3 linked regions of the Neodiprion lecontei genome follow. The protein of the gene in region 1 purifies or fractionates together with the protein of each later gene. This does not show direct contact. Links are inferred from orthologs where the notes say so. Each region holds a gene or a part of one and is shown in the gene's direction. Other genes may lie near its edges. The genes, in order: lysine-specific demethylase lid, GATA zinc finger domain-containing protein 1 and protein kinase C-binding protein 1.

Region 1 (10,871 bases):
GTCAAAAAAGGCGTACGAAGAGCAAGAATTAGATATCGTATCGCGCCTCAAGAGGAATCAAATTCTCCTCGCGGTTGATTGTTCGGAGTGACACGACCGACGTGCGAACGTGCGTCTCGTACCTACGGAAAATGACATCATCATCGTCATCGACCCTGAATGAGGAAGAAAGAAGAAAAGAACAAAAGTCAACGGGTGAAAAACTGGCAACGAAACGTCACGTGTGCACGCGCCTTTATGTTGACACTATCGAATTCGAGATGTAAGCTTGCGAGGCTGGATGTGGGCAAGTAACGAAAGGTGCCCCCCCCCCCCTCCCCCCGCTCATCTCATGCGGCATCAAAGAGTATTAATGCACGCGCCGATACAGGCGTGTGTATGCGTATACCTATGTACGCAAGTGTATGTATCGTGTACGTATCACGTAGGATGTATATGTATAGACAGCCAGAAGGGATCAGTTCTTGGCTGAATCGCATTCCAGAGATTCCAAGGCGACTTTAACCACATTTGAAATTCCCAATCCGTAATGGACGCGCTTATCCCACACACGAAACACGTGTGTACACATACGTATATGTATACAGTTGACACAAATACAGAAGGTACGACGCGTGTACGCATGGCACGGTTCGACTTACGTGCATACGTATACCTATGCATATATACATATATATATACATATATTGTATAGTCGAGAAACTTTCATCTGCTCCCGGAATACACGTACGCATTCATAACTCGTGTATAATAATATAATATGCCTATGCTCGTTTTGAAATATACCTACTAACGTTATGGATCTTCATCGTTGTACCGCAAAGTGCGGTGCGAAATTGATTGACAATTTGAAATTGATGGGATACGGTAGATAAGAAAGTTCGACATTCGGATGCCGAGTTAGATATCGGTCGTCGGACCTCGTCAAGGCCAAGGTCGAAAATCTAATGGCTGGTTGTGAATGTGGAATATGGTGTGTAGCGTCCGACGATCGTGCAGACGCTGGAAGTTAGGCGCAGGTGTTTTCAAGCGATTTTCGATACCGCGAAGTAAAATAGATCTACACACCGTGTACGGCATGGCGAAAATCGGTGCTCGAATCCTGCAGCGCGGTGTCGGTGTGCATACATGTGGCAAAGTAAGACCGTTACGAAACGCATCGGAAATGTCTTCGAGGCGTAGGTATAGGTACCGCGTTGTTCTTCCGTACATTAACATTACCCTACGTTTATGGGAGGTTGCGCGACGACGACGTGCTTCACAAAGCTATTCGTGCCTTAGGCTGACACACCCTGTATCGGAATTGATGAAAAAATTTCCAAGGTGTGCATATCAAGCTCGCATGGCGCGTGCAAAAATTACCGGAATAATGCGTGTGTTTGTCTAACCGCATATTACCCTAATCGGGAAAGATAAGTCGCGATACTTTTCAATTCTTGATAGGCAAGAAATTAGCACGAACTTATCAGCATTTTGACAAATTTGACTGAGCTGTTCGTCAAGTTTTAATTAATCATCACAACCGAACGGGATCGACCAAAATTGTAAGGATCGAGATGAAATATTACGTCCAATGTAGGTACAGACGCTTAAATAATTCAGTACACCGTGTGCGGCTAGTTCCTGGAACTGATTTCTAATCACCTTGGTTTTCTTGTTAGTTACGCCGGTATGATTTTTGTTTTTCCTTTCGATCCTCTTTCCCCTTATCGTCACAACCCAACGCGATATTTACCTCGGGCTACAGCATAAGCTGGGTACGGGATTGAGCTCGGCTTCAACCGGCAATTCGGCCGTATCTTAATACACACCAATCTTAACACACACCAAGAACTGAAACCCTAATTGGATTTTCAAGAGGACAATAACCAGGAAAAACAGACAGCTTGCGAAATAAGCCGCATAATGGGTGAAGTGGAATCGACGCTTGGAGCTCCGTTCAAGTTGTGTTATTCGTACCCCATGTATATACTGATACAAAATTACGGTAGTCGGATGTTAAGACTAGCCAAAGAGTGTCCATATCTCTGCTGCTGCGTGTATGGGCGTATGTGCGTGCGTGTATGTGGGTGTATCGGTGTAGTGGAATATCATCGATAAATACCTTGTGACAGCCGAGTTTTGGTAGAACGCGGGTTTGGCTCGACGAAACTTATAATATCCAATATGACGGTGGTTATAATCGTAATCGCGTGGCACAAGACCAATCGCCGCCGTTTATTTTCACTGTAAACTTATCAACTTACAGGTATAGCTGCAGGTACCAGAACGATAAAAGTTTGAAAACTATCAACTCCGTCAACAAGTGTCAGTCCCGACGTCACACTCTACTCACCTATATACAATACGGCACAGAGCAACGGAGTTTTGGGCGGACCTCGGTCCCACTCATTGTCGACTGGAAATACCTGTGCCGTACCTCTATACCTGACGAAGCCCCAGGTAAACTTGGGCGGGTGTCCCCCTTCTTCACCCCCTTCGACCCACGGACAGGTAGCAAATGAAACGAACCACCTCATTGGTCGAGGTGGAACGGTACCGAGCTTTCCATTCGTCGAGACCTGCGACGGAGCTCGGTACGATCGGTTAGAAGAGGTCTTAGGTTTACCTGGGCCACCGATAGCGGATTCTCGGCTTGCCCTGTAGCGCTCACAAAGGCGGCAAAACAATAAACGACAGTCGTGGGTATTTGCTTGCTCTGGCCATTGAATTCAAGCCAAATTTTACCTGCTCGTATTTCTCGGAACATGGAAGGCATAAACTTCTTTTATTACGGCAAGAACATACTACAGTTAAAGTCCAAACTGTTTTCTTCGCGGAAGGTATTTAAATGGAGTCGGTGAAAGAATTTGGAAGCTCCAACTTTGAAAACTGTACCCGAGATTCTTTCGGAATAGGATGAAGTCAAGATAAAGTAGTAACGTTACTGTAACGGTGCATGTTGACGAAAAATCGGTACTTCGCATTTATAGGAAAGTCCGAGATTTGGTAAACCATTGTAAACAAAATATACTTCAATTTTGAAAAGCCAACTCCTTGAGAGTAATTTTTCAATCGCTTAACTTCAGTCTGATTCTTTCGGAGGATACAGTCAAGGCTGTTGCATTACAATTTTCGCATCCATGAATCGTTATTAGCTAACGATAATCCAGTGTCGATGGGAGAAAATTCGCTATTTTAAAAACGTCCTCTAAAGCCGAAGGATGTTTTTCAGACAATTTGAAAGTCAAAGCCGAAAAAACGTAGTCCTGATATTTTTTTTTTTACCATATTTCAATTTTGCTGTGGCCATATTACAAGTTTTTACGAAATCGATTGAATTCGGTCAACTACAGCTTGACTGTATTTCTAATTTCCAGAATTGGCTTTTCGAATTATGCAGAAGTGATTTCTGAACAAATTTTGGCAATGAATGGCCCACAACAGCTGCTTTAAGAATTGAAAACAAAATGAGGAGGATGGTTACGAAGAAATTCAGGTTGTCAATTTTTCCGACGCCGTTTGAACGTTCGATAGCAGGATTTCGTTGGTAAATTATAAATCTTTCAACTCGTTAAGCAGAGTACGTATTATCTGAAAATTAAATTTCAAACGGTACTCTTAACGAACACTTTCTCGTTAAATTGACAGGAAACTTTATTCGTGTAGTATAACTTTAGACATTCGATACACGCAATATATTCACGGATACTCTGTACAGATAGATATATGCATGTGTGTTGTTTGACTTTCCAACCATATTCTATAAATAAACTATGCAAATACTAATTATTTATACGTCATTTTCATAATCCTTGGGGTTCTTCCTTTGAAGGCGAGCGTGTTCCTTTTCTGCCCAGTCGTAGACCAAGTAGGCTATTAAAAAGGCTTTAACAAGAAAATTTTTCATCTTAGACATTACAGACACGACTGGTTTGAATCTAATCACACAGTCTCGTACGACTTTGTTGAGATACTTACGTGGGCCCATTGTAAACAAGTTCTCCTTTATCCTACGAAATACATTCGGTACACCATGAGATATCGCACCTGCGAATGCCCGCTGCTCGTACGGACTAAGTCGGTAATAAATAATTCCTCGCAGCTTGTACAGGTTTCCAAATACCTTTCCCATCCTGCCAACTGTCTGTGGAAAATATCTGATTTACGTTAAGCTGTTATTTTGTGTGGCGAGTGGTGTGTATACGACAGTTACCACACGAGCGAGGGGGGGGGGGGGTGAAAAGGTGTGTGGAATTGGTGTAGAAAGAAGGTGCCGAACACACTTTTTTGCAAAATGAATCATTCCGCTGGACATTCTTATCGGTCTGATGGCTATGAATATTCTAATGACAACAGAGAAATTGCAACAGAAGACGTAAAGCATCGACTGACTGGCAAATAACGTAATTCAGTACGTAGCCCTCTCTGTGACCAACCTAACAGTCACGTCCGAATTACGTAAGAAGAAATACGGTAAAAACGGCAAACGGAATACCGCGGAGAAACTCATCGAGTATTAAGTTAGATAACTCTATCGTTTTTCGAATAAATTATGTAATTATTTGGTAAAGACACCTACCCCTTGCGCAGAGAGCACACGTCGAGTCTAATGGAAAGAAGATACCGACTTCAGACGGGTAGACAAAGTGCACCAACACGAAGAAACGAAACTGAGGAGCGAGTGGCCAGCAGTTCTGCCAACGTTGACTCACTCGGGATACTATTTTTTTCACGGATCTTTCGCAACTGACCAATGAAGGATCGCTGAGCCAGTTTGCTGCCTAACCAACATCGACGATTCAAACGATCAATCTGTTTTCATCCGTAGAATTGACGACGCCTCGTATGCTCCGTAGAGTCTTGAGAGATGAACGCAATAAAACGCAGGTATAACCTCGACGGCAGTTTCTCCGGTGTGGCCGAAAGCTCAGTCAATGGCGTGAAGGTATCAGCCATGTTGGCGGTGAGGATTGAGGAAGCGCCGATGGAAGAAACACGGGAGAAAAACGCATTCGGTTGTCGCATGCGCGCAGAGGTTGGTTCTCGAGCAGCGTGATAGTGGAACAAGTACTGAATGCATACGTACGTGCCAGACGGACTGGTGTGAGTACCGAGCAGCTCTGCCTATTAGAATCGTTCTATAGTTCCTACATAGAACCCGAGGAGTTGTGTGCGGACGGACGGATTGTCACATCGGTAACGGTCATATATACGACATCCGTAGCCATGGCTGCGCTAAAAACATTGACGAACAAGTTTTTCCAATTAATACCTGAGTAGTACCGAGTTTCCTAATCGATCCCCACACTATTGTCACGTGCCACGGTGTATTGGTGATTCCCGAGTGAAATCCACGGGGGAATTTAACATACCAAAACTTTGCCTATATGTCCTCGTTGGTGGTGTGCATTCGTTGTGTGACGAAATTACGTGATGGTCTCTAAGGTGGATGTAAATATCGGGTGCGAGGCTCGGTTTGGTACTTATCACGCTAAAGATATGAGTGAAAAAGGTGACAAGGATTTTGAGTTCGCTATACCACCAGAGGCCCCAGTCTTTGAGCCAACAGCGGAGGAATTCCTCGACCCCCTTGGCTACATCTCCAAGATTCGTCCGATTGCCGAAAAATCGGGAATTTGCAAAATAAAACCACCGCCAGTGAGTAATTACAACGATGCGACAGCCCTCCCCGCCTCACCCCTCATCTAGGAGGCCTTTCGCCCTTTATCGTCCCCCCCCTTTCCCTATGCCGTAGAGATGTTAAAATCCAGCGTCGACGAACCGTATGTGTTTGGGGGCTTTGAGAAAGGAAAGCGAAAAGTGATGTAGATGCGATAAAAATGTGTAACAAAAAAAAAATACTATGTACACACACGCGCTCACACCCTCTTTGGATGGATACCTTATTGTTCGGGATGAAAAAAATCTCCCACAATCACCCGTATCCACATGGGCTAGAGTTGTACGATTGAATACGCGATGAAAGGAACAAATGCGGAGTAAATAAATAAATAACATTGGCAGAAACGGGATTCTGTTTGTCGATTTGCTTTCTCATTGCTCTGACGATGCTAACATTGGACGTTAATTTTGGGAAATCGCGTAAACAAATGACATCTAGGTATATTAAATGCTGCGTCTTCTCGACTGTTCCTGTGACTGACATAACGTTTCGTCATTATCTCACGTCCTCTCACAAACGTTAATGTCGCACTTTTACAGTTGTAAACTGTCATTAGAAATATTCTTCCGGAAGAATAATTAATTATTGTTGTATTTGGTGTCGTTTTTCTTTACTGACCGATTTTCTTTCTTTCTTTCTTTTTTTTTTCTTCTCTTTTTGTTTTTCGAACACCTATGCTACCTCTTTCTTTCTACTCGGGCGAAACTACCACCGATGTTAATCTCACCAGCGTGTTACATCCACAAACTATAGCTATATCGATGCACATAATGGTCGTTCGTCATTTTACGATTAGCAAATTACTAGATGAATAAATTTTTATCGCAGCCGCGATACGCTTATCATCGAGAAAAATTTGAAATGGTGTAAACCGAGAAAATCGGAAACAACAAATAAAAACAAGAAACGTCAATCCAACGACGATGTTTATACGCATACATTATTACCTGTAACGATAAAATCGATCGAAGTTGTTATACCTGATACAGCCATTATTTTTCTTGCATTAAATGTCAAATGAGTTGCAAACCTCGGAAAATAAATCGCCGTGAGAGCATTCGGTCAATACGTAATTCCGTTACTCAATTTACAAGCGTCTGACGATTGTCGAATCCGTCGAAAGAAAATGAAAGATGATGTCCATTTTGTTTTATGTAGGTATAACGGACATTGCATATCCGTGCGCGTACTGTAAAGAAAAGAAAGGTGAAAAGTAATCAACGGCAAACGAAGAGCTGTCGTTGTTTATATTGCGAATGCCCCTGTTAATTGTGTCTTATTTCTTCTCTAAACAAGAAATTATACGTTACGCTTGCATTACCATTTTATCAATCCAAGAGACAAATCCTACCTCACGTCTGCTATATCCAATAATTTAGTAAAGTAGGAGTTTGCGAACCGAACCGAAAACTAAGGTCGGCTTCAACTGTCGAGATTTGAAATTAGAACAAAACAGTAATCCAAATGCATCCGTGTTTTATTGCCATTGCTAAGGGCAAAGGGCGAGCGTCAGAGGGGCGGAAGGGGGGAGGACGCTTACCGTTATAGATTCGGCGTATAATTTGTATGACGAAACATGCGATTGCATAGTTTAAAAATAAACGGGAAAAACTATAATAGAATTTTCACCATTTATTATGTAATTGTCAACAGTCGAACCACTATGTACAATAAATTTTTCCAAAACTGTAAAATGTTTAATTCCAATTTACAAACTAAAGAAAATAAGTAAATAAGTAGAACCAAGTTTCCAGTTTGCTCATTAAATTCAATATTTTTTTTTTTCCACAGAATTGGCAACCACCTTTTGCCGTTGACGTTGACAAATTCAAATTTGTACCAAGAATTCAGAGGTTAAACGAACTTGAAGCAAAGACCAGAATAAAGCTGAATTTTTTAGATCAAATAGCCAAATTTTGGGAGCTTCAAGGATCATCGTTGAAAATTCCACTGGTTGAACGTAAAGCTTTAGACTTGTACTCCTTACACAGAATTGTCACCGAGGAAGGTAAAGGATTGTTTTTATCGTCCTTTCCCAGTTACCTGTGATTTAACGATAATACTAATACTTTGTAATATTGTTTCATAGGTGGCATTGAAACAGTTACTAAAGAAAGAAGGTGGGCAAAGATTGCAAACAGGATAGGATATCCATCCGGTCGAAGCGTTGGAAGTATTTTAAAAAACCACTATGAAAGAATTTTGTATCCCTTTGATGTTTTCAAGCAAGGGAAAACCTTGACTGACATTGTAAGTATCTTCAGCTTAAATTTGCAACTGACTTATCAATGTAGTGTTTATTCATTTAATCAGTAATAAATCATTTGTACTGTCTCCAAAAGAAAACAGAAAAAAAAAAACGCGTTGGCCTCCAGACATTTTATGCAGAGCTGATGGTACAATTTTTGTTTATTTTCAACTATGTGAAGTTCCTGAATTGGACTCTATTAATCAAAAACAAACATTAAATGGTCCAAAGCTTACCCTAGTATTGTGATTTTTTTTTAGAAAATTGAGCCAGAGGGTGACGTGAATGAAAAAAAGGACAGGGATTATAAGCCTCATGGAATAATATCGAGACAGCAAATAAAACCACCAAATGAAAAATTTTCACGGCGTTCCAAGCGATTTGCTGGTACGGATGAAAAACCAGAATTAGTCACAGACAGCACATCACCTATTAAGCAAGAAGATTGCAAAGATGAGTGCGACTCTGACAATGAAAAGGATAAAGATAACAGCAAAGAGCTTAAAAAATTGCAGTTTTACGGACCTGGTCCGAAAATGGCCGGTTTTAATACCAAAGATGTAAAAAAGCCTAGCAAAACCAGAGGCGTCAAATTACACTATGATTTTGACCCGGTAAGTGAATTCAATTTTTCACGTGTTGAGAAATAAATAATTGTTTGTTTATCGGTGTATTACAGCTTACTAAAGATCTCCTATATTTTTGCACATTCTTATTCCTTTGTCCTTTTTTTTTTTCACAGCTTGCCAAATACATTTGCCACAACTGTGGTAGAGGCGATACAGAGGAGAGCATGCTGTTGTGCGACGGATGCGACGACAGCTATCACACCTTCTGCCTTATGCCACCATTAACCGAAATACCAAAGGGTGATTGGCGATGTCCAAAATGCGTCGCCGAAGAAGTCTCAAAGCCTATGGAAGCCTTTGGATTTGAACAAGCTCAGCGTGAATATACGCTGCAACAATTTGGCGAAATGGCCGATCAGTTCAAAAGCGATTACTTCAACATGCCTGTACACGTAAGCATCATATTTTCATTCAATTTCAAATTACTCTCTCGAGTTACGTCTTTAAACGGTAATTTTTTTCAGATGGTACCGACTCCTTTGGTCGAAAAGGAATTCTGGCGGATTGTTTCTTCGATAGATGAAGATGTGACCGTCGAGTATGGGGCTGATTTGCACACAATGGATCATGGCTCCGGTTTCCCGACGAAGACCAGTGTCAATTTATTCACGTGCGATCAGGAGTACGCCGAATCTTCGTGGAATTTGAATAATTTACCCGTTCTACATGGAAGCGTGCTGGGACACATCAATGCAGACATTAGCGGGATGAAAGTTCCCTGGATGTACGTTGGCATGTGCTTTGCCACCTTTTGTTGGCACAACGAAGATCATTGGAGTTATTCCATAAACTATCTACACTGGGGAGAGCCCAAGACTTGGTACGGAGTTCCTGGATCTCAGGCGGAAAGATTTGAACATTCCATGAAATCTGCTGCCCCGGAATTATTCCACAGCCAACCGGACCTTCTCCACCAACTCGTCACTATTATGAACCCTAACATACTGATGAATGAAGGTGAATATTACAGGACAATTATAAACGCCCATTGAATATGGTATAAGAAAATTATCACGTTTTAACTGATCCTGCTGATTCGACATTTCGTTGTCAATTTACTCTCTTTCCTACCAGTTTTACACTTATAGATGGCAAGTTCAACAATTCACTGCATTCGGGAAAAAATTCAATTTGTCCATATCACATCTACTTGTGACAATTCTTAAAGTATTGAAAAATTCGCTTCAGTTTCACTCAGGGCACCAGTGCTATCTTTGAATGCTCCCATGACACAGGCTCCAGAGTTTTTGTCCAATATATTCGTCAGGCTGCCATATTCACTTATTGTTCGACATCTCAACGTAACATTTTTACTGTTCGATTAAGTTCCTTTGGTTCTTTCAACTTCATATTGGTCTTTGCTTTAATTTACTTCAGAAAATCGTCGATGGCTGTACTGTCCTGGACCTGGTTGCTCGCCGAGATGCCAGCATACAAATAATCCAACCCCCATGTACATAGGTATCCGATTTCCTAACAACTTCCCTCTTCACGCCATCCCCCATCCTATTTACATCACCTGCTTATTACCTTATTATCTGCTATTTTTGTGAGCAGAAAATAAAAGTTAGTTTTTTATATTAAAAACTGGGCTAATCGAACGGATATTGACGAGTTATTTTATGGCATGAATTGACATCGAATCGAATATGTTGTACATCGACTCCATGAATTTATTTAAAATGCCAACAGTTATGGGTGATAATAGTCAGAAAAGCAGCGATCAGTATAACGTTTGATAATTGTTGGAAAAAAAAAAAAAAAAAAAACTTGTTTATAGTAGACCAAATTTTACAAAAGTAATTTACAGATCGCTCAGTTTTTACTATTGATTTGTGCTAACTGAAATTTCACCAAATGGATGGATCTCATTTCATTCAATATTGACGTTGAAATCGAATGGACGCAAACTTTTCTTTAACCACTGTTACTGTCTATGTTGTCCAGGAGTTCCAGTATTCAGAACGGATCAGCATGCAGGTGAATTTGTTGTGACGTTTCCAAGAGCCTATCACGCCGGCTTCAACCAAGGGTACAACTTTGCAGAGGCTGTCAATTTTGCTCCAGCTGATTGGGTAACACATATAAGGATTGAGAATCGTCGCTCGTTTATTATGACGTGATTAGACGCCTTGTGATTTCTTTTTGTTACAGTTGAAAATGGGACGGGAATGTATTTCACATTACTCTAACTTGAGACGCTTCTGCGTTTTCTCACATGACGAACTTGTCTGCAAAATGTCTCTGGACCCAGACTCCTTGGACATCGGTATAGCCACAGCAACATATCACGACATGCTTCAGATGGTCGACGATGAAAAAAAATTGC
Region 2 (11,777 bases), on another chromosome or scaffold:
TGTAGATTATACTCAACTTTAATAACCCAGGTAGTATATTTGTCGAAATATCGACTATGGATTGACAAATTAAAACCGGCGTAATGTCAACAGATGAAAAATTTGCCTACATTATACTTTGGGATAACGTAGTACCTCTACATAAATTTTAGTAAAATCCATGATCCGAAGGCCAGATACTTTCCTTCTTCATAGATTTTTTGTAACTTTGACGACATAAAGAATTTTTTTGCAACTCAAAATTAGCAGCTGACCCTTTAAGGTAGAGCGCAGTACGTTTCGCATTTGATTGACGGGGAACGCATGCGCCCTAAAAACTTTTCCCCAACGCACCCATACATGGCTGACGGTACCGAGAGCTGCTGCCGGGATCGATCGAGGCCGAAAGACCAGCAGTGCGTCGAGCCTGTTACCATCGTCCCGTTGAAACAGCGCGGAAATTTGGAATAAGTGAAAATGGGTAAACATCTGCAAACCGTTGCGGCAATGGCCTGCATGAAGACGCTGTTGATACTCTTCAATTTTGCATTTGGGGTGGGTATATTTAACTTGTCTTAAATATACACATATTCATACGCCTCGATGCTGCCGTCAAAATTGAAGAAATATTGACGGAATCCGCCCAACTGTTGCATTTCCAACACAATCAGCGTTTAGCTTAATCTGATCGCCATGTATAGCATTGATTCACATGTGTTTGTGCATTCTTTTTGAGAACTCAGCAGAAAAGTTCACGCTTCTTAATATCGTACAAGTTTTGGATTGGCAATGTTGCAATATTTTCAGATTTTGTTTGTTATATTATTGTAGATTTAAATAACACAAAATGAAATAGGAGTTACGATTAGAGAAAGTTAAACTCTACATTGACCTGGCATTACAAAATTAAAGTTCAAAAGCTTGGCCAATGTATTCTGTGCCTCGATATTTGCATAATTTGCCTGAAACAATCAGCTGATTATCTCTTATGACGCCTCTATTGTCCTAACCACACCCAGATTAAGGATCCTGATAAGTTCGAGCTTTCATGGAATGATTAGATCAAGACTGAACTTCATTAGGGCGGTTAGGAAAAGTTCAAACATCCCTGTTACGGTTAAAATGATTTCGAAAATTCGTATGTGGTAAAAATAAGTTCATATATTACTAGGACAGTTAGTTTAAATACCCTCGGAGCTATCAAAATAATTTCGGTTATCCCCGGAACGGTTGGGAAGACATCGGTTATCCTTATTATCACAACGTTTAACGAGAACGTTCGATATGAGTTTTGGTCCAGCGCAGAAACGACTGGTACCAAAACGTAATGCACTCTTCTGAAGTTACCATTACTTACACTGAAGGAATTTCGAATTAGGATGGTGCTTTGCTACTTATGAGTATGTATGTATGTACATTGTGCATTAATACATACGCTAGCGAGAGAACGATGTAGTGATGATTTGCTGTTGAAAAATTCTAATCTGAGACGGTATGCTAATGCAGTGCACCGGAGTACTGATGCTGTGTGTTGGGATCTGGATGCGTATTCAGCTCCGAGAGTACGTAGATATGAGCATTGAAGGTAGCGGTGCAGCGCCTTTGGCTCTGGCCTGCCTCGGCATCCTCGTAGTCGTAGCCTCTATCTTGGCATGTTGTTGTACGGCACGTGGACATCCGGCACTCTTATACCTTGTAAGTATATAATACACGCATACAACTAAGATCAACATATTACATGATAATCAGTATCTCTTGGATGAGAAGGTGGACTTATCGGTTTTCTATCCTTTTATCCCCAGTACGGAGCATTCTTGGCGGTTGTGGTACTCCTAGAGCTGGGATCAGGTGCCTCCGTTTATGCATATCGCAACGCTCTGACCGAGGGCTTCGATCAAGGGCTCAATGAAAGCTTGGTTCTCTATGTAGACGACCCCAACAAACACCATGATATCGATACCATGCAGTCTACCGTATGATATCCTAGTTCCTCTTTTATCGTGCAGCATTATCTTCTTCGATCAGTCAATTGTACACATTTTTACAGTTGCATTGCTGTGGAAACCGCGGCTACACTGACTGGCACTCCATAAACTTACCGGAAGAGATTCCTAAATCTTGCTGCAAGCAGCTTGAAAACCCGTGTGACTCTTCGAATCTGGATAACGTGTATACTCAGGTAAATAGCATAAACATTGCGAAGTTTCCGATCTGTATTACATATTCTCATTCTCAGAATTGAAGTCATAGGAACAGTTTTAGTTTATGGCGTCGAGAGTTTTGGATTAACGTTGTTTCCAGGGCTGCTACAACCGGGTTGTCGACTTCATAAACAGCAACATTGGGTTGGTGGCTGGTAGTGCTGTAGGTGTTGCATTCTTTCCTCTCATTGGAGTCTTCCTTGCTTGTTGTCTGGCTAGTAATATCAACAAAGCCAAATACGAGCAAGTTGCGTAATTGAATGACGCTGCGTGACGGTTAATCACGAGAGAACGCAATTAAACTAACAGAAACAAAAATCAAAGTAATTATGTTATCATAACTTATTCATTTATTGCTGTGAGCTTGCGTACATACGCACTTATTTATTATGATATGTATCACTATATGATATTCATTTCAGTTTTGAAACTGTGTTGAAGTATCAGGATGCGGATGGGAGAGAAACTTATATATTATAATTATATGTCAATTAATCATTTATGAAATTTGTTTCTATACAACGAACATATACACATACAACTACAATGAATCCCAACTAATATTGATTGTTCGAGATTTCTACACATTGAGCGTCATTGAGAGGGAGGTGGTGCCTGAAATCTGGTAGCAGGCAGAACTGGAATCCTTGATTTCAGAAGAAGCATTCGGGTCATGGCAGTGAACAAACTACGCTTATTAAGTCGAATTTAATTACAAAACTGGCTTTTTATCGAATATTTTATTCTATATTAACTCAATGTCATGAAATGAAAACCGAAAAGCTTGTACGAAGTTTTCTGTGCTGTAAGATTTAAGTGATTAATCTAATCGATCAGCTGATTACCGCTCACGTCGCCGTATTGTCTTAAGAGGATGTTATAATCAGTCCATACTGACCGCGATAAATGTCACTTATTTTGACCATTATCAAAGCCTCTGCAACACTGATGTAGAAATACCATAGCCAGCGCAATTGTACATGTAATGGCTATTACAAATATCAAAAAAAGTTTTCTTTCACGTAACAATAACGCTACGAAATGTATTCTTATAATTGAATTATCGCTTATTGCAGGAATACATTTCCTGGACTCAATTTTCGCATGAAACGAATGAGTTTCCAGATAGTTTTGTTCGGCATTGCACATAGTAAAAGTGCCCAACATTTTATTCAGTCGGTAAAGCCAGACTATATTACCCCCTTAACTGCGCACACAGCCAAAATTCCAATCTTCAATGCATAAAATATGTCGTGATGGCCAGAATTTCGTAATTCTCTGTATATATGTCTAAACCTAATCGTAAGTCAGAAAGACTAGAGGATAGGAGGATGATCAGTTCTATAATTCCGGTGTTAGTATCGGTGAACTACTGGAACGCGCACTGCAGTCGTGGGGGTTCCGAAGACAGAGATAGCTCAAATTACAATCAATGAGACCACCAGTCTCTTTTTATTAGTTACTGCGCATGCTCTGCACCGTCGAAGTAGAAATATTATCCTACCGCGACATCCACTTGTTTTCTCGTCACCGATTAAAGTGAGAGGTCCAGCTTTAGGTATTGCTCTCTCTTTCTAAATACCGCTTCAGCTCGGTGCACAGACCGCGCAGTCTATCTCTTTAAGTCTATGGTCCTTATCGTGACTGTAACAATTCCACAAAACACAGCAGCCAGTCTGCACAGCACGTATTACGTCCTCAAGCGGGCAGGTTTGTGACGTCATAAGAGTTTGGCAGTGTGCTGTGGCCGTATATCGGACCGTGTTTGCAGCGCTGCGTACTGGCAGTAAAAAAGGAACATATCCAATGATATACTTTGTATCATATTTAAAGTGCACTTGGCTCAAATCTATCGCGTGGCGATGAAGCCCAGCCTGCGTAGTGAATCTGTGTAGGATCAGTGCGTGTACCGCTATTGTGTTTACGAAAACACTAATTGTAAGGAAAGCACCGCAAGGCGAGAAATGTAAGTGTAAATCTATCCAGCGTAGATGTAAATAAAGAAAAAAATGCCGCTAGGAGTGAAGCCGAAGTGCACAAAATGCGAAAGTACAGACAGTATTTTATGGCACAGTACGGATGCCGGTAATATCTGTAATAATTGTTCCGAATCTGACCGTTGTGGGAATGCAATTGACGATGATGACAAAGCTAGCAATAATTCATCGAACAATGTCAATGCCACTGTGAAAAATGAGTCGAATGACACTAAACTGCAGCCTCGGAAGAGCACGAGAGTGACAAGGTACCTCAAAAGCAAACCCGTTACACAGCTGAAAGTTTTGCCTAAGGGTAAAGGACGCCGACATATTTTTAAAAAGACAGTAAGTTTTAAATATTATGACTCGAAAAGGGAATCGAAATAAACGTTTCCCGTAAAGTTTCTATTGCTTGTGAGCAGAAAAGTCACATTTTTCGAGAACTCCATTTTGCATCAAAAATCTGAAAAATTTTATTTTTCGCGTTTCTATATATGTTTCTGACAGTATCAGGTTTAGGAAAACTGGTATGAGTTTCTTAAAGGAGTTGTAAACCTTTAGGAAACTTGGAAACTTTTGAAGTTAAATTTTTTGAAATACAGTTGAAAAAGTCTACATATATGCGAAAGAATATTTTCAATAAAACTAGAATCATAATAATTCTTCACAGAAATTTTCTAAAAATATGGTTTTTCTGAGGGGTTAAATCACTGTTGAAATTGTGCACAACACATCTCCATTTCCTACAACTCCCCATACGTTTCCTTGCAACATTGCCTTGCAAGATCTCCAAGCTGATCCCAAAAATTTCCAAATTCCTTGTTTGCAAATATACCTAGAAATCCTCAAAAATGTCTAAAAATTCACCAAAATGTTCCCGTAATATCTCCCATTACCTGCCTTGTTATCTCCCTCTCAGGTTTTTCCATAAATCTCAAATATTCTACATACAAGTTGAAGTTTTTCTATTTCGAAATTTCTTAACACTACTAAAATTTGCGACAGATTTTTCAGGACCTGTCATAATAATTAATATTCTGAATAAATTTATATAAATTTTGAAAGATTTCTGAGAAAAATTTTCGCTCAAGTGCGGTTTTTGAGGCACGAAAAAAATTCAATCGGTGCTACTTTAAACACCTTGACACACAAAAACCGTTGACGGTCATATTTAGATGAATCGGCAGATCAATTTTAACAATGGTCAATAGTTACAATGACTGATTTCTGCTTGCTGTAGCCAATCAAAGCTCCTGCAGCTGTTGCGACGCCAGTCACCAGTGACTACGTCTTTTATAAAGGTTCTTACATTCAAGTTGGAGATATAGTGTCCATGCAAGACATTGATGGCGGTATTTACTACGCTCAAATACGAGGGCTGCTGACGGATCAATATTGTGAGAAAAGCGCAGCAGTGACTTGGCTGATCCCAACAACTGCTAGGTAAAATATTATCTTCAAGTATTTATGCCACAATACATTTTTATATGTAACAAGAATACCAGTTGATAGGAAAGAATTCGAATTTATTGTATATGTTACAAAGTTGTCGACAAGTGAGATGTAAAGAGTGAACATTTTTCTTGTACAAAAACTGGTAAAGCCCTCCGCCAGAACATGGATTTTATCCCGAGACGTACCTAATCGGACCTGAGGAGGACTTGCCAAGAAAACTGGAGTGCATGGAATTCGTGATGCATGCACCATCCGATTACTACAAATTGAAAAATTCTCCGTATCCGCCACCGTTGACGGAGACCGGGGCTGGTTTCGTATGGACATCTTTGAAACACGAAATCAGTGTCCGTAAAAAGTAATATTTCATGTATATTTTTTATTAAATTTATTTAATTTTCCTATTAAGGGAGACGGATTTCAAACGAATGAAGAAAGTTGGCTCATAGTAAAAAATAAACCTTCACATTAATAAATGCTCAATAAAAAATATTTATTTGAAACTTTGATATAACTTTTATCGTCATCATCGTCATCATTAATTATACAGCTTTACACTTATCTGTTTGATATATTATATTTTATTATTATATAAAGATTTCATAACTTTACTAGCGAAAGTGATAAATTGGCCAAAACTGATTTTCATATTTCATTCAACCGTTGATATCAATTATCGGTGACTCATAAACGAGGACGCTCATTTATATCAAATATCGTTTACGATAATGCGTACATAATTTATTTATGCATTGATTTGCTGTACAATATTGCCCCTAATACTAGCAGATAGCTAGGCACTATAAAATACTAATAATGGTGAGTGAAAAATATTCACTGAACATTATATTGCCGACGTGGAATGAAAATTTAGGTGAATAATTCTCTCATTGGCAAACGCGATGGATATTGACATGTTAAAGAAAATTATTAGCTCTTTGAATCACGGATTCCACTAAAACTTCTAGGGGTGTTCCTTATACCCAAAATATAGAACTCCAAAGGTTTAGTTTCATCTACTTGGCCTTCTTTCACGTAATTTACAATATATCAGATATTAGAAAATTCGCAGTCACTTCATATTGCTCTGAGTTCATATATTCGTTGAAACTTGAATCAATGAGATCCTATCATTACAACTTCATCAACAGGTTTCGTTTATTACAGCATTTCACTGAGCAAATTGCTCATATAATCAATTGTAACCGGATTAAAGCAAGGCCTGTTATAATACACTATATGTTACAAGGCTCTATATTTTAGGCCAAGGAAACATACTGACAAGCTTGAGCAGAATCCGTGATTCAGAGGCCTAGTATCCTTGTTAGAACCGAAAGAAAGAAACGTCTCATTTTTATCCTTGATAACGATGGAACGCAGAGCAAGAAACCTGGTTTGACACCGCTGGGAGCATCCGGGCATTTTCATCTGTTTGGCCAGTGGAAAGAGACGCCGTTAACTGGACAGAGGAAACAACCTCAGCTGAAGGACTATCTAGTCAACTAGGCAAAAGCGATGTAACCGCCGGTCAGAACTTGAGGTCCTTTATTGCCTGTGGCAGGTCGGGTAGTTTCATGTCTTTTAACTGCTGCGGTATATTCATATTTTTCACTGCTGATACAGCCCGAGCTGGAGCTGCCGTTATTCCCGCCTGCCAGGAAAAATAATTCATCAATTAATCAGGTAGATTTATCAGCGTAATCGCTGGGACATTTACCTTTGAATATGCTCATATTTTTGTCCAAATGTATAACGATGATATTTTGTATAATCGAATATCAAACTCTTACAGTTTAGATTGATTTGAGCATGGAAAATATTGTTCTGAATTGATCTCATTGCATTAACATGGAAGTGTTCAACCAGCAATGACAAGTTTGTAATGTATGAAATATTTTGTTCAGGTAAATTGTTTTAATTATGCATATTATACAAATTCACTAATAATATTGATAATAGTGTAAGAAGAAGACTAAAGAAGTGATTGACAATCGAAAATTTTGATAGGTACATAAAAAGAGTAGTAGAGGATTAATTAGGGAGATAGATGCAAATATATGGTTTACATTTTATTCACGTTATTGCTAGATACATTTTTACTAATTGTAAGGCACTAGTTCTTTTGAAATAAATCATACGTTACAAAATTCATGCAAAATATCATACACAATATTACATGAAAATTCAACTATATGTAAATGTATAATTATGTAAAAAACCGATGCATATCATTGAAGTATGAAAGAAAAAAAAAATAGATCACAGACGAAATAGGAATGTTCACCTCACATATTTAGCCGGAATGATATTAAAATCAAAACAAACAAATCTTATTACTATTTGACTTTTAGGGAGGAGGTCCCAGAAGGACAATCGGACGAGGTGAGTAAGATCGCACTGATTTGTAAGCCCCCTAAAATTGAGTTTGAGTCAGTTCACTCGTGTAAAAAGCCATAACTACAAGAACATGTTCAGGAGCAATTGTTGGCGTGTAGGCAGTGTTGAAAAGAAAAGAACACTAAAAACAAAATAAATACAACAAATAATATAATTGAACTATTTCTGTTTTGCTCAAATTTTTTACACAGGACTGAGAAATTTTATGCATCCAAAGAAGGTACACCTTTATCGAATTCCAGAATATGTATTTAGATTTGTCAACCATGCAATGAAGAACACATGAAAACAAGCTTTAGGTTTCAGTTTGTGATAAGAAAATTTTCCAATATTTGATGGTGTCCTCGAGTATCAAACTGCATTTTTTTCATTTTAATCGTCTGAAGTCTAAAATATTTTTTATTGATGGATAATATGGAGATTGCTTTAAATGATAGAGACGATTTTTGACAGATAAAAATGTGAGTCCCGTAGGTGTTGCTGGATTTTCCGTCAGCAGCTGACTACCCTAGCTCTGTGGGTTTGATTGGATATGTTAAAGTTAAGGACAATTAGGCCGTACAGTTTTAATCAAAAATGAGAGGAAGAAAAAAAAAACTGTGTGAAAAATTTTTGGTAATGTTATTTGTGTCAATGTTAGTGAACAGAAAAAACAATATTCTTACTGTGTATTAGAAACAAATCTGAGCAAATTCAAATAACAACAGCGAGCATGTCTACAATTTGAGAGAAGGATTTGTATTTAGAATGTTCTCCCTTAAACTCTGGTATTTTATACCAGATTGTAATTTCTGGACTCATTTTGCTAGCTGATCAGGCCACAATAATTTGTCTGGAAGACATTCAAGAAATCTTACATTATGGTACCATTAAAATGCACAAATTCAATTATCGCCCGACATCTGTTGCTCCATGCTTACACTAATCTATTTAATTCACTCTGGAGATAGTCGTTTTTAATTTGTTTTTTTGTGTGATTTCTGGAGATCTATCTCTGAGGTGAAAAAAAGAAGTCGCCGAACATTAGAATGGAATAAAAAAAACAGTCAAGTTTTATAATTTCTAACATACTAACGATAAAACCTGTCAAATTGCTGATACCTTAACTTGGGTAATACGAATTTGCAAAATCATTTCTATCACATAATAGGGATGTTGTTTTATTCGAGTTCACTATCATTGGAACAAACAAAATTACTAGAGATTTTTTAAACGGTACCTTCTCATTTCTTAATTTTTGATTGAGATGGTAGAGCCCATGCATTTTTAAGATGATTAGTCATGTTCAAAACTTAAAAATTTTAACAGTTACAATCTAATGTAAGAAAAATTGAAGGATCTTTGCTAAACTGGTATATTGTGAGGAACGTTTAGTAAATGGAAAAGAGAAAAATGCAATAATGAAATAACAGAACTCCTCACCTCTTGTTTTTCTAGCTTGTTTTGGTCTTCGATTCGACTAAGGATTTCAGTCATGTTTGTTTCGAGTACCATGCCACCCATCACTAGTTCATTCAATATGTAATGAACTTTATCCACATGAAAAATAAGGTCCAATTCACAGACGTTCTCAAAGCATTTGTCCAGTGTTTCAACAAACACTTGTATCAGATCCAGGATTCCCAATTCAGATTCGGAACTGTCGACGCAGAAAACAAAGTACAAAGTCGCGTAGTGTCGGTATATCAGTTTGTAATCCGAACCCCCGATTAGGCTGCCTCCTTCCAAAAAATTACAGACGTTATCGTCTCGTTTTGACACGAGTTGGAACGTCTCTTTGATGATTTGTTGTTGCATGTCCTCGTTCTGAAGAGAACAAAGTGATATTGAAATGTAAAGTTTTCAATTTAAAGGTGAAATATTTTTCCGTTCCTCCCTCGCGCTGTCTGTCATACTTTCCGATAACTTCATTTCACGATATGAAATCGTATACATGAATTTCAGTTATTAGAAAGAATCATACTTGATACTGACAGATGTCAAATTTTGGAGGATGCAAACGTTTATTACCAAATACTCACAAAGTACTGATAAAATTTTGACAGTCTGGGTTTGCCATGATTGTTGAACACTAAAATTGCCTTAATCATTTTGAAGCCACTTGTTTGTATAGAAACAGAATGCATAAAATTGTTATTACGTTGGTATATACATGGATTATATTAACGTGACATCACTGTTTTAAGGTTACACTGAATTCTGGCAACTGTCGCCATTTTTAAAACGCCGCTCGTCCGCTAACCATTGAACACGCTATAAACAGTTCTGGAACCTTCAGTGGTAGGGGTAGGTCGCCTATGGAAAACACGTTAGTAGTTCAATAGTCGCGCCACTGGCACGGACGGGGGGTTCGTATGTAAGACCACGTATGTGGTTCAGCACCGAAATACATACATTTGAGTGGTTCAGACAAAAAACAGCACTAGTCGCCATACGCGGTTTAAATCAATATTGAGGTTATGTATGCCGTAGTATTAGAACCACAGCGACAACTAGTGGTCCCGCTAAAACCGAAACTTGGCCTTCCTAAACGACGCACATAATCGTGTGCTCCCAATATAGGAGTTTCCAGGCCTGTATGTAAGACCTTGTCTATGAAGTTGCATTGGACATTGACTAAAGATTGCTAGAGATAGCCAGCTAAGTGGGACATTTTGAAGTTCGTCGATAACAGGAGCGATGGGGCAGGTAGTTGCAGTATCTAAATTTCACATCGTACCGACGAATTAACATTATAACTCAACGACGCAGGTGTTATTTTTAAGTTTGTAGGCGAGATGCTACAGGCTGAAGTCCTCCATTGCTAACGGAACCTACTCAGGAGAAAAATTAGTACAATCAACTTCTAGGGACTTTGTTAATAACATCAGTGCGTCCCGCAAAATGCGCCTGATGAATTGGCAACACACTACAATTGTTTCAAATTTGCCCTAATATTGCCGCGTGCCGCTTTTGATAGCATATTTAACCAGTTATGGAAAGTTTCTTTATTTTTTAATTTATTCTTTACGAAACTCGGTTTCCAAAAAGGGCTACTGAAGTAATGGAAGACTAATTTTGTAGATGAATCATTTCGAAATGTTCAACAGGTGGAACTAGTAGTTCGTGTATTTTAGATTCGTTTTAGCAACTATACGCATAAACAATATTAAGTGTGAATTTTTGGTTTATGATACTAATATTGGGCATAATTGATTACAGATTTCGAAAAATAATTTTTGTAACGCTAGTTTTACCGTTAGATAATAGAATAAAAATATTACATTGGTGAATTGTTTACGCAAGTAAGGATTTGTAATTTTTCATGACAGTATGAGAAGTAGGTGAATATAAAAAAAAGGAAGTATTCAAAATGAGTATTACTCTACTTTAATTAATTCACAGGTCTTTCCGTTTCCACGATTCCACTATGACATGGATTAATCAAAAGTAATGAAGGAAAATAGAAAAATATAAGATGGCAATCATTTGCCACGTATTGTACAAAAAATTAATTTATAATCATTTACTTCATGGCAGGTTTTCATAGACATGTGTGAGTGATTAGGAAATAACATTAAACAGTTAGAAACGTGATAACCAAAAGTTATTATTATTAATATTCTGTCTGATATTACAATTATAATTGGGCGTTAGGGATTATTTAAATGATTATTCACATATTGGCGACACGTAATGTAAAGGCGACTGAAACGTAGTTTGTAAATATATATATTTACGCGTTCTTATAAACCGCCGCGCCGGACTATATCAAAATATCGATTCA
Region 3 (11,008 bases), on another chromosome or scaffold:
GAAATTAAATTTCTTCTTCTTTGTGAGTATGATCCTCAATTCAAGGATATGTGCCAATGAAAATTCAACGTACGCTCCTTCTGAAACGTGCTGGACGCAGGTCAGGTTGCCTACGGTAGGGCGCGCGGTAATGTCAGCTTTTACGCGAAAGAAGCAGTTCTATAGGAGGAGACAACCAGGTCCTCATCCAAAATCCATTAAAAATAGATTTAAGACTTGGGTGGGAAATAGTGGGAAAAAAATTAATCAATCGACCAGCAGTTGAGACTATGTTACGTGGGCATTTATTATATAAACGTATCTACAATATGGCATATGTCGAAATGTAGTGGTGTTATAATTCCATTGATTTAGGTGAAACATCACTGAAGCAAATGTATACGTAGTAATTTATACCAAAGCGTATGTTTATAATGAAACTATTCCACTATTTCCAAAATATCGACAAATTTATTTTTCAATTCTGAAACTAGCCGTAGAGTGTAATATTCCTATATAATGTCTGAAATTAGTAGTTTCAACTTTCAATAATATCGATATAAGATTATGCATGGGATTGAATATGCAATGCTGATTATTATGTTAATCCAAATGGTTAAATAAAATTGTTGAATTAATTATCAGTCTACCACTTCAACAGTTGATTATCAAATATAAATTAATAATGACTTGTGGTATTCTTATTCCGTTAATTCATATAGATCGCTGGAAAAAGGATGGAACTCATTATAAGTGCAATAAGAAACGTAGTAAGATGATACAATTGTGATAATACGCTAACTTTGAATTAATGTACACGTGATAGTCACCTTGTGTCATTTATATTTCTCATTTTACGTGAACTATGCGGAAAAAAATTCTTTGTAGCAACTACAACTGAACATAAATGCTGAGCACAAATCGTCTTCTATTTTTATATATTTTAAGACCAACATGATGTGACCTAGTACTTTTTGTTATGTACGTACACAATTTGAATTACATACAACGTACAATATATCCAATAGTTATATATTTTGTCATTGCCAATAATAATTCTCCAGTTTTTTTTTTTATTATCAATTATAAGTATAAATTTTTCAAATAAATGGTTCAATGTTTCGTGTTCTTAAACTGTACAGATGGAACTTGTCAAATGTTTTGCAATATCTAAGTAAAAAAGGGCACTAGGTAAGCGCATCCTTTTTAAATATGACTTTGCTCTTTAAATTTAACTACACGCCCTTCATCAAGTACTTTGAGGTTCCAAGTTCATCTGAGCTAGTCGAAGGTGTTCTTCAGCGTTCGCTGTCCCGTACGAAGAATCTGGATTGGTATGAATTTCTTCGATACCTTTACGGATTTGCGATTGAAGCTGACCAGAGATCTTTCGAATTGCAGAATGCTTCCGTTTAATGTGCATGGCGCAAGAAAGTGATCCTTTCCATGGCGCGGCATTTGTATGCAAAAGGTAAAGTTCCATCCACAATTCTATGCTGATAGGTGCCACACTGGGCCAAATAACGCCAGGATTTGGTTCGTAAAGTGGATTTAACCATTTTTCCAAAACATCTGGCTGATTTATATGTGACCATAAACTGGCCGTTCTCTCAGATAATCTAAGCTGAATTCGTTCTGCTTCTGAATCACCCAAGAACGTTCCATAGCTTGAGCAATATGCATGTTTATAAAGTTCGATGAGTAAATCTGTTGTATATTCGAAGCTGAATTGAAATTGGCGATGTAGCTGATAGAGACAATCTAGAAATAGCAAAAAGGTGGGAGCATGTGCTGGACTTTGAGAATTGGGCGGGTGATAAGGCCCATGACGTGTCCGACTGAAAAAAGCATGGCCAGCTTGTAACCACTCTCGTTCAACAAGAGCCTGCAGACCTCTCACGGTTCGACAGTCAGGATTTAGAATGGCTTGGGTCAAACTCGTCACAGCAAGAGTACAATCTCTGCCAGCACCACCTACCAAAAAAGCATATTGTTACTTAGGTGAAGGTATAATAGTAGTGTTTGCATACAAGTCTACAATAGTTTTAAAACTTCTGTGCTTATGATCTCAAAATTATTGATTATCGATATTTTTTTCACATATTGACGGATTTATTGCAAATTCCTGAATAATTCCTTACAATGCTTATCTAAAACGATAGTAATGCCCAAAAACTGGACAGTCAAAAATAATTATTGTCAATTTCCACAAAAAAAATTTGCGTTATCTAAAACTTTCGCTGAAACACGATAATAATTCTACACGATTGTTAATGTGCAGAATTTATACAATTATTATTCAATATAATCGATTATATTTCATCAAAGATGACTGTGAAAAGAGTTGGTAATCATATTACATCTGTATGAAAATATCTCGAACAAACGAAATTAATGAAGACCATAGTAAAACCTGCTTGTGAATGCAAAATCTGTTGTTAGTTGTACTTATAGTAGTACAGTTCCAATAGTTCATTAGTGCATAGAAATTTTTCATTTCATAACTACATACCATGTACTAAGACAGCAGCTGCTTCTTGGTGAAGACATTGGGCAGCTACGCAGGCTGCATTCAATGCTGCTTGAATTGCAGATAGCCAGCCACTACCCTCTAGTCGAGAAAGCCACTGGGACGTGGAGCATTTTGTGTCACTGCAGGCTTCGATTAGTTTACAGAAACTTTCGGCCAGGTCAGTAGATCGTGGCACAGCCTTGTGCACCTTACGCCATTGTGGATAAGCTGCGTCCATTTCAGTTCCTCCTCCTCGGTTTTTGGCCGCCTGCGCTTGACTGGCAGATCTCGTATCCACTATGTACCTGTAGAGAAGACACAAATCAATCAACAACCAGTAAAATTAATGCTATGTAAAAGTATATCTCAACTCACTGAAAAATGCAATCTAATTTATACTTAGAAATTAGATTATTTTTTTCGGCTATATACAAGTATACTGGTATTATTATATTGAGAAGCCAAATATTTTTACATACCCTCGTCTTCCTGGACCTAAAACAGCATTCAAAAGTCGTTCATCCTCCTTGCATCTTTTTCCTGTAGCTCCAGACAATGGCTGACTACTTCTCATGAGAATACTCTAGAAAAAAATTAAAATTCTACTTACTGAATCGAGTCGGGCTTAATCATTTATTGCAAAAATCTCATACCCCCCCATCGTGTCTGTAGCAGAGTACAGGAAATCGTCCACCGTCTCTAAACTTTGCTGCTAATACAATAATTTTGTCTTCTATATGCCGTGGTACTATTACGGCTGATGGGTACGAATTACAGACTTTATAATCACGATTGAGGTAGCAAATCCGCCACTCATCGGCATGAGTTGCTAATAGTCTAGACCATTCTGAAACTGGTGCAAATGCAGTCCATCCATCTTCCACTTGCACCGTGGAATTATTCACAGGTTGAGGGCTGTAGAAAAAAGGATACTGGAGAGGTTGATCTGAAATATAAAATGTGCATTAGTTATTGTTAGGCAGCAATCACGAGTTAAATAAAGCAACTGTCAATTTGTATTCAGAAGCAGGTACACGAATATTATGTCCATGATTATTTACCCAAACATGCCAGCTTTTCCAGAGATAACGTCACATTATTTAAATCCTCTGTACTATTGATATCGAGTTGATAGATATGGAAATCCTTGCATTTTAAAATAATACTGCCTCCAGGGTTTTGGTTGTTTGACTTTTTCTCTATGACATCTATGTTTCTGTGAAGCAGCTGGTAAAGGATTCAATTGTAAATTACGAGTAAAATTTCAGTAGGCAGCATCCTCCCAGTATTTAGCAATCTTACATTACACAACTATACTTGCTGACAGACACCTTTGACACTTCCTCATTTCTATCAATAGAACGGTAGCTAGCCATAGCCCTTATTTTCAAACTGATTCACAATACATGCAAAGACTACATAATGTGTTCCATATTCTCACATGATCTTTAAAAATGTATTTACATTCTGGCCTGCAATTTACAGGTCAACTTATAAAGTTCACTGTCAAATGATAAATAAGGTGATATATGTGTCACTTACATACTTCACTCTTATTTATGTAAATATATATTTTACTCTCAAGAACTTTTGAATGAAAATATAGGTTTTTGCTTATGCTTGTGTTAATTTATTACTGAGATGTATCTTTCTAAATCACGAACAGTATTCCAAAATCTGTTATTGTAATTATTGAAACGTAATTGACTAAATGTAAAATGAAAAGTTGCACATGTTACAAGATAGCACATAATTTTTTTGGGATATTCAAATATAAGGATGGTCTATACTCATAAATCAAATTTCTGTAAGCCTGATTTTATCACTTTTTTTGTAGTGCTTAAAGGGAATCTTAAATCAAAATTAAGTTTATTTGACATTGCAATACTGGAGATAAACTGGTTTTTATACACTTACAGAGTGAGGTATTACAAATTGATATATTCTCCTTGTATTACTAATATGATATTACTTATTTATAGTTTTGTTTTAAACTGTCAAATTTTGCTTTATTAATACACAGAGTATTGCTTAGCAAAGGATCCATTTTGGGTTAGTATCTCTTATTTCAGTAATTATCTATGTTTTTGCAAGACGCAATTCAAACTAAAACACTGCTTGATAGCGAAGGAAAATCTTGTGCTTAATGAAATAGCTGGAAGAAATCGAATATCTACAAAAATGTGAAAATAAAACGTCAACTGGCTAGAAAATATTTCAAAAAAATTGCAGATATTGTCAGAACATGAGTAAAATTCTCAAATTATTTTCCAAGAGTTATGAATATAAAACTATATCTAAAACTCTGGGACGTACAGGATTGCGGAACATATTATAATAAATAATATGGCAGTTGGAATAAAACTACGAATTGATCAGTTTGAGTACCAAAAGCTCCTGAGAAACAGCCTGCCTTGATGATAGTATAAGATGATGTCCAGTGATGCAGAGCGTTCTATCTAAGCTAGAGTTTTTATCAGTTCCATCGCTTCTATCAGTGAGAACGACGTTATCAAGTTTTGTAACTAATATAAAGTCACTCAATTCCATTATTCGTGCTGATTTAACTCACTGGAAATAACAAGGCGAAATATTATTATTCTTCTGCAATAAGTGACATTTCACAGATAAACGTAACCTTAAATAAATACCTTATCAGACTGATCGTTTATCTATTATATATTTGTAGTTTATCGTTGAATTTATGAGTCGATTAAAACATCGGTGTAACGGAATCGTCAGAAAACTCATTCGGCAATAGTTTTCGTAAAGTATTACGTCTCTTTGACAGCTGCTGTTAACCCGAATATTGTATGTGCGAGATCACTATACGCCTACACTACAGCTGGTTGACAGTGATAACCAGCTAACCCTTTAACAAGAGGTGTGGAAAAGATTGGCGAAAATTCGTACATAAACTGGTGATATTCCGGGATGGCGAAATGGAGAGCGAAAAAGGTGATGTAAAACTACAAGGTGTCATGCCTCAACGAGCATTCCGAGCCTTCGGAATTACCGGACCCACGCATAGTTTGACAGTTCTCTAATTGTATATGTGCACTTTTGTTACGACTGAATTGTAGACACGATCACCACGTGATGTCCGAAGGTTTGCCAATACCTCAACAGATAGCGCTGGCGTAACGAGAAGAGAAGGAAAGCCCGGCTAGTAGTGGTTTGCTCGTGCAGCGCAGCGAGAGATATTTCCTAACTTTCCATAGCGATTAATGTCTCCACTTATGTTTGTATCATGTTAATTCAACGAAATATTAGTCTTGCAAAGCGATGCGTCGTATCACCAGCTTTCGTCGTTTGATAATGCGTACTTCCTTCTGAATAGATTGGTAAGATCCTGTTTATATTTTTATGAAATTTTAACAGTCTATCCTCTTCTATTCACTGCCATTTCACACAACCACAGCATCCATTCCTGTGCCTGCTGCTATGATGTAGGTATACCCACTTTTTACTTCATTGTCATCCTGATATTACTTTCCCAATATTGAACCATGCTCAGGTACCCAAGTTTGTACCGCTGCAACTTAAATGCATTTCTACAATTATTTCTTTTTACATTTAGTACAACACGCTGTTACCAGGTCGATTAGCACTTTTGGCATTGGCACTCATCTACTTTCTGCTTATCTTTCGCATTCAGCCATAATCTTGTATTCCTCATTGTTGTAGACACGTCGCTTACCCAGGAGGCATACTATAAGTCATATTGCTTATTCACCTTACTCTTACAAAGTTATTTTCACTTCCGAGAATTGATTTAAGGCTTTATGTTTCTCTTGCGATTCGGGATAGTATGAAGGAAGATCCTGGCTTCTGGTTTCCTTTCAATCATCAAGAAAATAGTAAATGGTATACAGACTAGAAACATTTTGGGGCTAGGATTTCACCAGAAACTATTAAACTTTGAACAAAAACGAAGTAAGAAATATGCACCTGAAGTTTCGATCCATTAAACTTTATTGTAAATTCAACTTGTTGCTGATACTGAGATCCTATGATAAGACTTTGTGTAGTAAACCTGGTAAAAGTTTGTAAACCATCCAAGGGCACAACATTACACAATAAACTTAAGGCTAAATAACGCCCCGACCTGTTTTCAGTATTAGTAACAACTTGAGTTTTCGACTAAGCTTGATTGGTTGGAACTTTAAATGCATAGATAAACATCATTTCCATTTCAAAGTGTACGTAATAACAATGGCATATGTAAGAATGTTTGATGTCAGTGTCTTCAAACTATATATAGTCCTTGGCTGAACAAGGGAGGTGATAATTTCAAACTAGTCACATTAATGCAATCTATGAATTTTTTTTTTTTTATTCTAAATATTGCATTTTATATGTGAACAGAATAATTACCGACAGGATAATCATATATACAATTTTGTGTTGAAATAATTTTTTGTGGAATGATTGTTTCTTGGATCATTTTAAATAGGATCGGCGTGCATGATCTGTTTCAAACAAAACATGTCCTTAATCGGTTCTGAAGTCATAAATCATATTGACAAAAACCCTAAAACATAATTTTATCTTAGCTAAAGCAATTCTGGCAAAATTGCCATGAACCTAGAAAACCTGGCAACAAGGAAAAAGTTATGAAGCTTGATTACAAACCTTGAATTTAAAATGCAGAATATTTACATCCTTGAACATGATATAACTACTAAAAAGTCCTTTTTTCCGCGTATTGCTCTGACCTATATCCAATTCATGTTATTGATCAAAAATCACTTTATATTATACTTGGACACAGAAGCAGGATTTAAAAATTGATCGTCAGCTCTAAATTGTTTTATTTTTAATCCAGTTTCTTACTTCATTTCTAATGTGGACAAAGTTCTATTCATCTAGAAATTAGAAAAATGTTGAAAATGAAAGTTTGGTACAGCCAGAGCTGCAATAATGGAGTGCATTAATAAATAATAATGTTCAAAAGAATCGATTTCAATAAATTACATTAGCTGGCTTTCAGTTCATACTTTTATTTATTTTGTCGGTATGTCAAGATTTCAAATGTTTATCATGAAAATACAAATTTTCACTGTACATAAATAAATTTATAGAAATTGAAAATAAAATTCTTACATATAACACATAACATATGGTGAAAGTTTTATTGTATATTGAAAAAACCTGTATTTGATTGTTATATAGAATTAAATGATACTTCATATAATAGAACTACAAATATCAGATTTTTTTCAAAATCGCGCAGTGTGATACAAAATTTTTTTTCGACTATGGTGTATTAGTTCATGTATTCGAATTACCAGTGAATAGACAGAAAATTAAACTTCAAGTAGCCGAAGCTTTAATGACAATCTATTTCACACAGATACCATCTGATATATGATTCTGAGCAACATGGAGTCCTCGGAGGATAGAAAGAACGCAATGGAGGACTGCGAGGATCAGAAGAACAATTCAGAGACAGCAGTTACAGAGAAGGACAAAAACGATAATGAATCTAGCAAGAAATCGAACAAAATAAACAATCTAACTAATGCTCTGGAGCAAAGTGACAATATAGAATCAAAGACAAATGTGAATAGATCAAAGGATAACGTTAGCAACGAGTCTGATGTCAAAAGCCGAAAACAATCTGCTAAAAAACACAGTAGAATTGAAGCAGAATCGCAAGAAAATAACAGTGTTGAAAATAGACTTGATGGCAAGAAGCCTGATGTCTCTAAAAGTACAAGCGAGGAAGCACAAGCTTCGGAAACAAGATCGTCTTTGTCTGTTGGTAAAGACGTCAAGATCAATGGAGCAGAGATTAAAGGGGAAAGTGCAGTTAAGGAGGGCAAGAGAAAACGGAGAATGTCGAGGTTGGTAGACACCTGGTGTGTAAGTAGTTAGTTTTCTTATTTTCAATAATTTGATGTATTATTAATTTGTTGCTCAACATCGAAATTGTAGATCTTGCATCAACTGCAAACTATGTTTTCCATGTAAAACTTTTTATAACAATGTAAGCTCACTTAGTATATTCTTATTTTCTAAACCAAACCACAGAGTTTCAAAATCCGTTTATTTCTCACTTGGTATTTCCGAACATTCTTCATACTACAAAATATTGAAGTTCTTCACAGATTAACATGTTTCTCAATTTATATTCATAAGTACTGTAAACCTATTTTCTATTCTTTTAATTTTACAATATTCCTAACAGTATTCCTAGAATTTATATGTTACTTGTATTATGGATGCATGCTTGAATAGAAAGGGCCTAATAGCAACTTCGTTTTTTGAAAATGAGTGCAATTTTCAACATTGATCGAGATATCATATTTAACATGTATAAAGACAGCCGAAAAAATGAACTTGATTTATTATAGTTGAATGAAGCAATATTTTTTTTAAAGTCTACAAGGCAGAGATTCTTCGGTAGAAAAAAACGAAAGGATTAACAAACGCAAGCGATCTAGGAGTGACGAAGATAAGTTCTGCTGGCGATGTCACAAAGAGTCTGTTGACAGCCATTGTACCGCATGTCCACGTTCCTGGCATCGTCGATGTATGGGTGGAGGTCCACAACCAACACCGCAGAATTGGATTTGTGGCGAGTGTGCTACTATTTTAAAAGCAGAAAATGCAGAAACACGCTCACCGGCGATGGCTCAGTTGAGTGTTGAACAGCTCTGTACACTACTGAGACATGTGGTTGGAAGAATGCGTGATTATCCAGGGGTGTGTACATTTTCATCACATTACTTGTTACATTCATATTTTCATTCCTAAGCTTACTTACTCCTTAAGTATCAAGTTAACAATGAGCGATAAACTTGTGTATTATTGAATATATTAATTCATTACGATTGCTTATTGCCTGCAGTAAAATTAATTTTACTGCCAAAATTAAAGAACCTAATCTGCTACTGAGCCTTCTAGGATAGTTTAGATGTCAAGTGTGTTTTTAAGAATTTTTATTCATACAGATAAATTAGAGTCCTATTGTGGTACAGAGATAAGATAATTATCAGGAAGGAATTAATCATTATGTCCACAGTCGGAGCCATTTTGGAAGGCGGTAGATCTCAACGAAGTTCCGAACTATTTGGACTATGTTGTTAAGCCAATGGACTTGAGTCTATTAGAATCTAATGTCCGTGCAAAACTTTATGGTAGTACAGAGGCATTTATGGCTGATGCTAAGTGGATACAGCACAACTGCATTGTGTTCAATACTTGTGCGTATTCTGTTCATTGCTTATTTTTCATGATTAATATTTAAGCCTGTGCAATTCTATATATTCTCGATACTTTTTTGTTCAGCGACAAATACTATTCTTTAAAATCTGCATTCAGTATTCTAATCTTCGGTTTGTTTGATTGGTTTTGATACTTCGCCATATCAAATTCACGATGTATTTTCAAATAGCTTATATACTTTTACTTTTAAGTTACATACCCGTACTGTTTAGAAATTTGATTAATACTGTGCAACGCAATGTTGCTATTTTTACATTGTAGGCAATCATTTTTATTCACATTCCTACAGAAATCAATGACTTTATATGAAATATATTAGAGTACGGTCTAAATTAAATATAGAATTTTTTTTTTCGAAATTCGAAAACTTCGCTGCATGTGCAATCAGACTGATTATATAAATGTTGTGTAGATAAAAGTATTATCTGGTAGCCAGGATATCAAAATATAATATTCTCGAAGAATATAGTGTCGCTACATTTGCAGGTGGAGGCGTTTACACAGATACCTCTAAACTAACAAATGCTGCTAGGCAGATTATAAAAGCAGCCAGGCAAGAGGTGTCGGAGATTGAGGCCTGTTCCGATTGTTATGGACATGCGCGAAACCTTCCCAGACCTCAACCCTCTTGGTTCATTGAACCGTGCCGAAGGCCGCATCCACTTGTCTGGGCAAAACTAAAGGGATTCCCATTTTGGCCAGCCAAGGCCATGTCTCGCATAAATGGCCAAGGGCATGTGGACGTCCGATTTTTTGGAGCTCATGATCGGGCTTGGGTACCAATTCGTGATCTATTTTTATATTCCGAAGATCCACCTGCACCGCTTCCGCGTAAACGAAAAGCAGATATGGACGAATGTGTTCGTGAAATAACGCGCCATTGTCGAAAGCTGGAGTTGGCATTTGGACAGTTTAAATTTGCGCCGCCGAAAATACAGTACAATCCGAGAGATCCATTGCAGATAAAACTAATGCTACCTAACTATGATCCTCTTCAGCCCAGCACTCCTGCTGTAGTATCTCCCAACACTTCACCACGAAGAAAACCACCTTTGAGAAAGCGAGGCTTTCATCTCACAAAGAAATCATGTTCTGAGGAATCAACGACAAATAATGCTTCTGATTTCGCTAACAATTCAACACCACCTCAGGGTGATTCGGACAACGATTGTGAAAAATATATCGAGGCATCCAGAATACCTAAGGTGTCACTGTCCAACAAGCTCAATAAATCCAAGTTGCCGCCACTTGCTAAATCTAACGAAAATCAAAAAGTGATCCACA

What was found.
Region 2: the proteins of lysine-specific demethylase lid (region 1) and GATA zinc finger domain-containing protein 1 purify together in Homo sapiens (affinity purification with mass spectrometry; 6 studies listed by BioGRID and IntAct, with this or other methods). This does not show direct contact. The link is inferred for Neodiprion lecontei from reciprocal best matches to the Homo sapiens genes KDM5A and GATAD1.
Region 3: the proteins of lysine-specific demethylase lid (region 1) and protein kinase C-binding protein 1 purify together in Homo sapiens (affinity purification with mass spectrometry; 3 studies listed by BioGRID and IntAct, with this or other methods). This does not show direct contact. The link is inferred for Neodiprion lecontei from reciprocal best matches to the Homo sapiens genes KDM5A and ZMYND8.

Annotation. Positions count from the first base shown.
Region 1 is NC_060264.1:35,601,067-35,611,937, reverse strand, and holds the start of lysine-specific demethylase lid, read left to right. Parts: upstream 1-5,045; 5' UTR 5,046-5,415; coding exon 5,416-5,640; intron 5,641-7,456; coding exon 7,457-7,673; intron 7,674-7,754; coding exon 7,755-7,915; intron 7,916-8,173; coding exon 8,174-8,527; intron 8,528-8,655; coding exon 8,656-8,934; intron 8,935-9,006; coding exon 9,007-9,499; intron 9,500-10,489; coding exon 10,490-10,617; intron 10,618-10,696; coding exon 10,697-10,871. Other genes in the region: cytochrome b-c1 complex subunit 8, read right to left, coding at 3,773-3,867, 3,961-4,114. UniProt on the Homo sapiens protein: Histone demethylase that specifically demethylates 'Lys-4' of histone H3, thereby playing a central role in histone code. Does not demethylate histone H3 'Lys-9', H3 'Lys-27', H3 'Lys-36', H3 'Lys-79' or H4 'Lys-20'.
Region 2 is NC_060261.1:12,101,157-12,112,933, forward strand, and holds GATA zinc finger domain-containing protein 1, read left to right. Parts: upstream 1-3,682; 5' UTR 3,683-4,189; coding exon 4,190-4,504; intron 4,505-5,399; coding exon 5,400-5,602; intron 5,603-5,762; coding exon 5,763-5,972; intron 5,973-6,092; exon of another isoform or gene 6,093-6,877; coding exon 6,878-6,917; 3' UTR 6,918-6,994; coding exon of another isoform or gene 6,995-7,013; 3' UTR 7,014-7,142; downstream 7,143-11,777. Other genes in the region: tetraspanin-7, read left to right, coding at 457-534, 1,486-1,674, 1,782-1,952, 2,027-2,158, 2,281-2,436; AP-3 complex subunit sigma-2, read right to left, coding at 7,143-7,265, 9,434-9,817, 10,033-10,137. UniProt on the Homo sapiens protein: Component of some chromatin complex recruited to chromatin sites methylated 'Lys-4' of histone H3 (H3K4me), with a preference for trimethylated form (H3K4me3).
Region 3 is NC_060263.1:23,693,694-23,704,701, forward strand, and holds the start of protein kinase C-binding protein 1, read left to right. Parts: upstream 1-5,658; 5' UTR 5,659-5,835; intron 5,836-6,296; exon of another isoform or gene 6,297-6,427; intron 6,428-7,847; 5' UTR 7,848-7,861; coding exon 7,862-8,355; intron 8,356-8,877; coding exon 8,878-9,202; intron 9,203-9,521; coding exon 9,522-9,702; intron 9,703-10,210; coding exon 10,211-11,008. Other genes in the region: myotubularin-related protein 9, read right to left, coding at 1,229-1,953, 2,492-2,796, 2,971-3,074, 3,145-3,437, 3,553-3,718, 4,880-5,041. UniProt on the Homo sapiens protein: Chromatin reader that recognizes dual histone modifications such as histone H3.1 dimethylated at 'Lys-36' and histone H4 acetylated at 'Lys-16' (H3.1K36me2-H4K16ac) and histone H3 methylated at 'Lys-4' and histone H4 acetylated at 'Lys-14' (H3K4me1-H3K14ac).